2 linked regions of the Lonchura striata genome follow. Each later gene encodes a partner of the first gene's protein in a complex. Links are inferred from orthologs where the notes say so. Each region holds a gene or a part of one and is shown on either strand. Other genes may lie near its edges. The genes, in order: CSK and PAG1.

Region 1 (3,898 bases):
CCTTGTCCCACTGAACCACTGTCCCTCTGTCCCCTTGTCCCACTGAACCACTGTCCCTCTGTCCCCTCTCTCTGTCCCTCTGTCCCCCTGTCCCTCTGACCCTCTGTCCCCCTGCCCCTCTATCCCTCTGTCCCTCTGTCCCCTCTCTCTGTCCCTCTGTCCCCCTGCCCCTCTATGCCTCTGTCCTCTCCCTCTGTCCCTCTGTCCCTCTGTCCCTCTGTCCCCCTGTCCCTCTGTCCCTCTGTCCCCCTGTCCACTCTCTCTGTCCCTCTGTCCCCCTGTCCCTCTGTCCCCCTGTCCCTGTCCCCCTGTCCCTCTGTCCCCTGTCCGCTCTCTCTGTCCCTCTGTCCCCTCTCTCTGTCCCCCTCTCCTCCTGTCCCTCTGTCCCCCTGTCCCTCTGTCCCTCTGTCCCCCTGTCCCTCTGTCCCCTTGTCCCCCTGTCCCTCTGTCCCCTCTCTCTGTCCCCCCGTCCTGTCCCCCTGTCCCTCTGTCCCTCTGTCCCCCTTTCCCCATGTCCCTCTGTCCCTCTGTCCCCTCTCTCTGTCCCCCTTTCCCCCTTTCCCTCTGTCCCCCTGTCCCTCTGTCCCCCTGTCCCTCTGTCCGTCTGTCCCTCTCTCCCCCGTCCCGCTGTCCCTCTATCCCCTCTCTCTGTCCCTCTCCCCCGTCCCGCTGTCCCTCTGTCCCCTCTCTCTGTCCCCCTGTCCCTCTGTCCCCCTTTCCCCCTTTCCCCCTTTCCCCCTTTCCCTCTGTCCCCCTTTCCCCCTGTCCCCCTGTCCCTCTGTCCGTCTGTCCCTCTCTCCCCCGTCCCGCTGTCCCTGTCCCCGCTCCGTGGCGCTGCCGGCGGTGGCCGCCAGGTGGCGCCGCGCCCCTCCCGGTGCCCCCGCCCCGCCGCCGGCGCGGTGCTGGCGGCGCATGCGCGCTGCGCTCGGGGCGCTCCGGTTCCGGGCGCCGCTCCCTCGGTGCCTCGGAGCCTCCGCGCCTCGCTCCGTCCCTCCGGCCCCTCCGGCCCCTCCGGCCCCTCCGGCCCCGGCCCCGCCGCGCCCCCCGCGCCCGCCCCGCGCCCCCCGCGCCGCGCTGGGCCCCGCCGCGCTCCGGCGGCGGCGGCGGCTCCGGCTTCCCCCGCCCCTTCCGCCCCCCCGCGCCCCCCCGCCGGCCCAGCCGAGCCCGGAGGCCCCGGCGGCGCCGCATGGAGCAGCGGCGGCGGCCGCGCCCCTGCCCCCGGCCAGGTGAGTGGCGCGGGCGCGGACAATGGGGCGGGGGGCGCGGTCCGGCCCCGCTGACCCCCGGTGACCCCGCGCGGCCGCTCCGCCCCGCCGCGGTCCCCGGGGACCCCCGAGCCCCGTCCCGTCCTGCCGGGAGGGCGGGGAGCGCCCCCCGCCGCAGCCCGGGGGATGCCGCGGCCGGCCCGAGCCCCGCCGGGGGTACCGGCTCCGCTGCCGCTGCATCCCCATCCCGTACAAAGGCCCGCGGGAGCATCCCGGGCGCCCGGCTGCTCGCAGGGCTTGGCGGCGCCTTGTTGCTTTGAGTGTTTGAAAATTTGGGGCTTTTGTTGTTGTTGTTGTTGTTTGTTGGGTTTTTGGGTTTTTTGGGGTTTTTTTGGGTTTTTTTTTTTCTGGGCACTAAGGCGTCGGCGGGTTATTTATAGCCGCGGCTGTTGCTCGTTGCTTTAGCGAGAGCGAAAGGGGTTGTGCCATCGGGCGGAAAAAAAAAAAAAAAAAGTCCCCCGAAAAATCGGAAAGTCGGGGAAAAAAAAAAAAAAAAGGCAAATCGGAGGTGCGAGGGCTGGGGAGCGGGAGGAGGAGGAGGAGGAGGATGGCAGCCTTCCTCCCGGGACAGGGGTTTGTTCCCACTGAGCCACGCAGGAGCAGGGCCCCATCCTGGCGAGGCAGGGAGTGTCCGGAGCGTCCCCGGAGGGATGCGGGAGGTTTTGGGAGCGTCCCCGGAGGGATGCGGGAGGTTTTGGGAGCGTCCCCGGAGGGATGCGGGAGGTTTTGGGAGCGTCCCCATCTTCCCTCGTGGAGCACCAGCGGCGTGGGAGCGATGGAGCCGTGGGGCAACCCCTGCAAAGCCAGGGACTTTTGGGGTGCTTCTTTGCCCTTTCACCACTGCCTGCCCCCAGCTTTTCGGTTTTGAGCGAGTATTTGCCAAAAAAACCTTCCTGTGCCCCACTCCGCGCCCTGTCCCCGTCCCCAGGTGGCAGCCCCTGGGAAGGGGACACTGGGGTGATTTTTGGTGGAAAGTCGCCCTGCTGAGGTTTTTGCAGGGTGAAGGAGAACCAGGAAATCCTCTTTGCAGCGTGGGGCTGGGAGCAGCTTCTCTCCAGGCCTCCACCTGTCCCCCGGGTGCCACCAGCAGCATCCTCTCTTTCCCTTCTGAAAGCATTTTAAAAACCCCTGAAAAAGAAGCTCCTTCCCCCCTTTTTTGCAGCAGGGCGCCCGGCAGGGGCTGGTTTGGGGGAGCAGTTCCGAAACGCTGCGTGCTGACGAGCGAGATGAAGGAGGAACATTTTTCTTTCGATTAGTGTAATCGTAGGTGTTCGTTGTAATAACAGCAGATAACATCTTTCAGAGGCAGGGAGGATGTTGTCTGCTTTGGGGTCGGTTTGGGATTTTTTTTTTTGGGTTGTTTTTTGAAGTTTAGAGGACTTCACCGGGAGGTGGGTGCACGGAAGGGGTGGGTGTGGGTGGTGCCCACACACCTGTTCCCATTGGGAATGAGCCTTTTGTGCCATCAACAGCCAAACTTCATTTCAACAGAGTCATCCTGGCGCTGGGCAGGTGCTGCCCCCTTCCCCTGCTTGGGTTTGAAACCCAGATGCAGCATCTGCCCACCCCGTGGTGATGGTGCTCCCGTGGAGGTCCCAAATTCCTCTCCCAGCCCGCCCGTGGCTCTGGCACGACTGGATTTTATTTTGATTCCTGAGAGGAACGCTGTGCCCAGCTCATTTCCTGGTGCCCTTTGGATTCTCAGAGGTGTTGGCCGTACCTGCCCACCTTGCCCAGCTCTTGGCTGCTGGGCCAGCCTTCCCACGGGAAATTTGGGAGCAGGGCCTTGGGGGAGGCATGGGATGGACCTGGGGGTGAGATCCCCGCTGGGGCTCCTGCACGGAGGATGCTCCGCTGGGCAAGCAGGGGAGCTGGGTTTTGGTTTTGAGCACATCCTGAGCCCCAGTTTGGGAGCGGGGAGCTTGCAGAAGGAGCAAACCCTGGCCTGGCAGGGCTGGGAGCAGCCAAACCCAGCACCCGGCTCTGCCCAATCCGCCCGGCTGCTCCCTGGCTAATTTTTAAAATTATTATTAATTTCTTTCACGTGCTGCCACACATCCTCCTGGAGGAGAGAAGGGGCGATGCCCGCGTTTTCCCAGCAGGCTCAGGATGCTGCTTTGAAGCCCTGGATCCACTCTGGCAGCATCTCCACGTCCTTCTCCCAGCCCAGCATCCCAGGGGATGCGCAGGGCTGGCCGGGTGGCGCGGGGCAGGAACTGCTGCCTGGCACACGAGGCCTTTGGGGGGCTGCTTGGCAGCTGCCCCGTGTGGTTTCCTCCTCCTCCTCCTCCTCCTCCTCCTCCTCCTCTTCCTCGGAAAGTCTCGGCTTTGAGGCAGAAATTAGGTAACGATTAAAAAGAAAACGAAGCTCGGAAGAGGAAGGCCTGTGTTGGGCTCTGGTGTTGGAACAACCTCCCTCTTTAAAGCTGAAAGGCAGATTTATTGTGTGTAATTATAACAATGCCACGGTCCTGTGCCATGAATACCCACGATCCGGGAAGATAAAAAAGCCTGGGCTGGCTGGAGCGTGTTCTTGGTGGGGTTTGCTCAGGAAGTTTCCTCTTTAGCAGGGAAAAGAAATTTTCTCTGTGAAGGCAGGCTATGAATTTTGTATCCTCGCTGCATTTATCAAA
Region 2 (3,898 bases), on another chromosome or scaffold:
TTACTTCTCATAATATTGCACAAATGAGTATACACTGCTCACCTTTCCATGTTTCACTCCATGAAAGCAGTATCTAATCATATAAAAATTTACAAATGGACCATTTTCCCATGGAAGAAACTTGAGTTTCTTCCCTCACTGGAATTCTTTTGGCATTATTATACACAGTATAAGGCAGTAGCAGCACTGATGGCATCCCTGCAATGCTGGGATGGGCAGCAAGCAGCCAGGGCAGCCTGCCTGTGAGCTACAGCTGTGCAACCTGGGCCTCATTCAGCACCTCTCCCCTGCTGGCTCCATGCAGGGCTGGGCCAGCAGTTGCCACACATCCAGCAAACCCTCGAATATGGGAGGGAGCCAGTCCCCATCTCAGCTTAGCAGCCTGGGGATAAGGGTGAGTGGCAGCCCTCTGCACCCCTTCAGCCTGCCTGGGCTCCCTCCCAGCCCCAGCACAACCACCACACTACAGGACACCTGCCCCTCCCCACTGCCACTCCAGGGCTGAGCTACCCTCGCATCCTCTGCCTGAAACCCGCCCCATTCTCGAGACCCGGAAGCAGAGGCATTGCTGTAGGGGCATGGGTAATGTTATTTGAATGATTTATTGTTTTAATTGACACATGGTTTTGAGTCTTCTTGGTCTATTGATTTTATTCTTGCATTATATTTTAGAGTTACAAACTATACGGGTTTGGAACTACTTTGAAAAAGCCCCTCAATTCTCTAGCCCTATCCTTACTGGAAGCAAAATAACTGTCCTGTTCCAGCCATTGAACTCTATAGCACTTCACCATGGGCATCAATGAGCTGATAAACTCATTTAATTCCTTTATATGTCAATTAAGTTGCTAGTGCACCAGGAAAGAGGGTTCCTTAAACTAAATGCCACTACATGTCCAGCAAGAAAAACTTGATAGCTTTTCTTGTGGACTCCTCAGTGCTCTCTAAAATATAAATTACCTCTCAGATCATCCTTATTTAGGACTTGGAATCCAGTCGTCACTTTCTGATCAATATAACTTTAATAGTAGAATAAATTCAGAACTTAAGTTATCTAGTAGTAGTAATTTGTACACAATACATGATCCAAAGCCACTTTCAAATGCCTGGCAATGAGGCTTATGAGGAGCACTGTATCTTAAAACACAATGCATTACCAGTTTCTTTTCCTCATAAAATAACACCTCATAAAAGGAACCAAACAAAAGATGGGTGAGTTTGATGACTGTCATATCCCACAACCTTTACTCAAATGAGCAATGTGTTGCCTCTTGGAAGTTGCAGGTCCCATTTGCTGACCTGAATATTAATTTTATGTTAATAAAAATCTGTGTTGAAAAACTGGTTAAATATAGAATTGCTCTGGTATTTCAGGTTTGCATGGTGTTACACATGCTGTACTATTTTCTTTTTCAATGAGTGCAGAAGATACTCACCCCTTACAGGAGATGCCCCACAGACTGCAGAAGCTGGCCTTTGATAAAAAAGCTAAGGACTGAATTAATCACTTTTCCAATTAGAGGAGGCACTTTTGCAATAATGAAGCTGTGCAGCTGAAAAAATTTTAAAGATGTAAAATAAAACCCCCTGGAATTTGAAATATCTTGTTCTGTATTGCCTAAGAGAAACAAATGCAATAACAATGTACTTCCATTTACCTACTGGGTATCTTTAGCAGTGTTTGCTTCTACAAATTCTCTTAACAGATGCTGCTCCAATCATCATTTATTTGCAACACAGACAGACTTTGAGAGGACTAAGGAGGATTTACCTCTGGTTTCACACAGCGCGCTTGTGTTTTTGAAGTTGAATTTCATAAAATGAGAACTCTGGATAAAAGTTAATCAAGCACAGCTGCTAGGCTTCCTAGGCTGCTAGGAAGGGGAGAAATATTTTCTACCGAGATTTTTTCCTTCACTCTTTCTCTGTCTCACTCTTTTTCTGCATTTATTGCTTAATGGCTTAGTATTATTTCAAAGGCCGTTCCTTTCACAGATGTAATAAATTCGTGTATTCAGCACCACAGACGATATGTTACTCTCCTTAAAACTAAATCTCTGAAGGATAGACTAGAAAGAAAGGTTAAAGAGCTCTATCGTTCAAAGCGCTATAGTTCAGACACCTATAAATCACAATGTTTGTTTATTTAGCTAATTGGCCCATTAGCTGCCGTCGCATCTCAAGCTGCACAACTTTCAGGCGTGACCGTGGGTCAGTTTCTCCTTTCCCTCTCCGGAGCACCGAGAGCCGAGAGCTGCGCGCAGCACACCGGGCACACGACGCGTTAGGGACAATCTGCGCTGGCAGCTCTGTTCGAGGAGCAGACCCCGCTCGCCCCAGCGACCCCGTCCTCCTAAAGACTTTCCAAGCCCAAGAGCAGATGCCACAGCGAAACAAAGTGGAGCCTGTCACTGCGTAATAGGATTGCAATGGAAATAGGGTTACGGGGCTGGCTCGTGGCAGCGGGGAGGCGCGGTAACCCCGCGCCGCGGAGATGCGCACGGCTGACCCGGCCGGGGCCGTGCCCGCACCTGTGCCCGCTCCTGCCGCTGCCGCCGCCCGCAGCAGCGCCCGCAGCGCGGACCGCGGCCGGGCAGGGGCAGCCCTGCGGCGGCCCCGCCGCCGGCCCCCGCGGCGACTGCACCAGCACCCCCGGACACAGACACGGCAACTTCGCGCACCGCCCCCAACTCACCGGGAGGCGCCGGCCCCGCGGAGCGGTGCGTCCCTGGATGCCGCCTCCCGCGGAGCGCAGCCCGCAGGGGCCGGGCAGCGGCGCGGCCAGGGAGCGAGGGAGGAGAGCCAACTTGCGGCGCGTCTCTCGTCTCTCTTCTCTCCTTTTCTCTCCCTACCCGCCTCCTCCTCCTCCTCCTCCCCCTCTCTCCCTCCCCCTCCTCCGCCCGGCGGGAGGGTCGGGGGAGGCGGCGGAGGGGCCGGAGCGCGGCCGCGGAGCGCAGCGCGGGCACTGCGCATGTCCCCGCGCCGGCAGCCGCCAGCGGAGCCGGGATGCGGCGGCGGCGCGGCCGGCAGCGAGCGCAGCGCGGGCGCGGGCGCAGCGCGGCCCGGCGCGCCCCTGCGGAGGCTGCGGGGCACGGCTGCCGCCGCAGCGCCTCGCTCCGCCGCAGCGCCTCGCTCCGCTGCCCGCCTTGCGGCACTGCCGCGGCCCCTGGGGGGCTTGGCCGCCCCCGAGCAGCGGAGAGCAGCTGCCGCCGGGCCGGCGCTGCGGCGGCGGATGCTGGGGCCGCCGCCCCGGTTGCTGCACAGGGGACTGCGCGGCTGGAGGATGCTCCGGTGGCCGGCCTGAAAAGGAGGAAAAAGGGACGAATTTAAGCATCCTGGTCTTGGGTTTTTTTTTCTCCTCGTTAAGTGTACGTGACTAAAGAAGACAGGTATTTTGACAAAAGGAACCTCTGCATAGTTACTGGTGGCTTTTTAATGTTGTTCCAAGGTCTTCAAGCAAAAGAAATAATCGTATTTTTACATGATGTAGGGAAACGCTACGACTGCAAGTGAAAAGCACTGTAACAGCAAAGGCAGGAAAGGCTGCAAAAGCAAAATACCGAACTGAGATCTCTGGGGATTTTTTTAGGGAAATTGCACAATTACTACGAGTTTCCACCCATATGTAAGGACTGACTTAACACCCAGTGAGCTCTTTCTTCCTGATAATAAGTTCAAACCCCATATGCCATTCTGCAGTAGCAGCGCTGTCAGATGCATGGCTGGCTCAAGGTTTGAGCCTGGGTCTGCACTTGATGTTTTCCAAGCAAGGATTTGCCTGTGCAGGAAAGTGCTAGTTTGTTTGCTTGCTTGCTTTCTTGCTGTTTTTGTGGAAGTCCAAATACAGCAGTACCATCAGCATTTTCATTTTCACCTAATCTTTGGCAAGATTACAACT

The links.
Region 2: the proteins of CSK (region 1) and PAG1 are in contact, whole or in part, in an NMR structure (PDB 2RSY), measured with the Rattus norvegicus proteins. The link is inferred for Lonchura striata from reciprocal best matches to the Homo sapiens genes CSK and PAG1. Residues at the interface, in NP_001025210.1 of Rattus norvegicus: Thr88, Arg89, Glu93, Arg107, Ser109, Thr110, Asn111, Tyr112, Thr117, Cys122, Glu123, Lys125, Val126, Glu127, His128, Tyr129, Arg130, Ile140, Asp141, Tyr156, Asp161, Gly162; in NP_071589.1 of Rattus norvegicus: Phe291, Ser292, Leu294, Tyr296, Lys297, Ser298, Arg299, Glu300, Glu301, Leu305, Ile310, Met313, Tyr314, Ser315, Ser316, Val317, Asn318, Lys319.

What each region holds. Positions count from the first base shown.
Region 1 is NC_134613.1:5,943,169-5,947,066, reverse strand, and holds the start of CSK (tyrosine-protein kinase CSK), read left to right. Parts: upstream 1-1,147; 5' UTR 1,148-1,226; intron 1,227-3,898. UniProt on the Homo sapiens protein: Non-receptor tyrosine-protein kinase that plays an important role in the regulation of cell growth, differentiation, migration and immune response.
Region 2 is NC_134603.1:29,035,297-29,039,194, reverse strand, and holds the start of PAG1 (phosphoprotein associated with glycosphingolipid-enriched microdomains 1), read right to left. Parts: upstream 2,875-3,898; 5' UTR 2,696-2,874; intron 1-2,695. UniProt on the Homo sapiens protein: Negatively regulates TCR (T-cell antigen receptor)-mediated signaling in T-cells and FCER1 (high affinity immunoglobulin epsilon receptor)-mediated signaling in mast cells.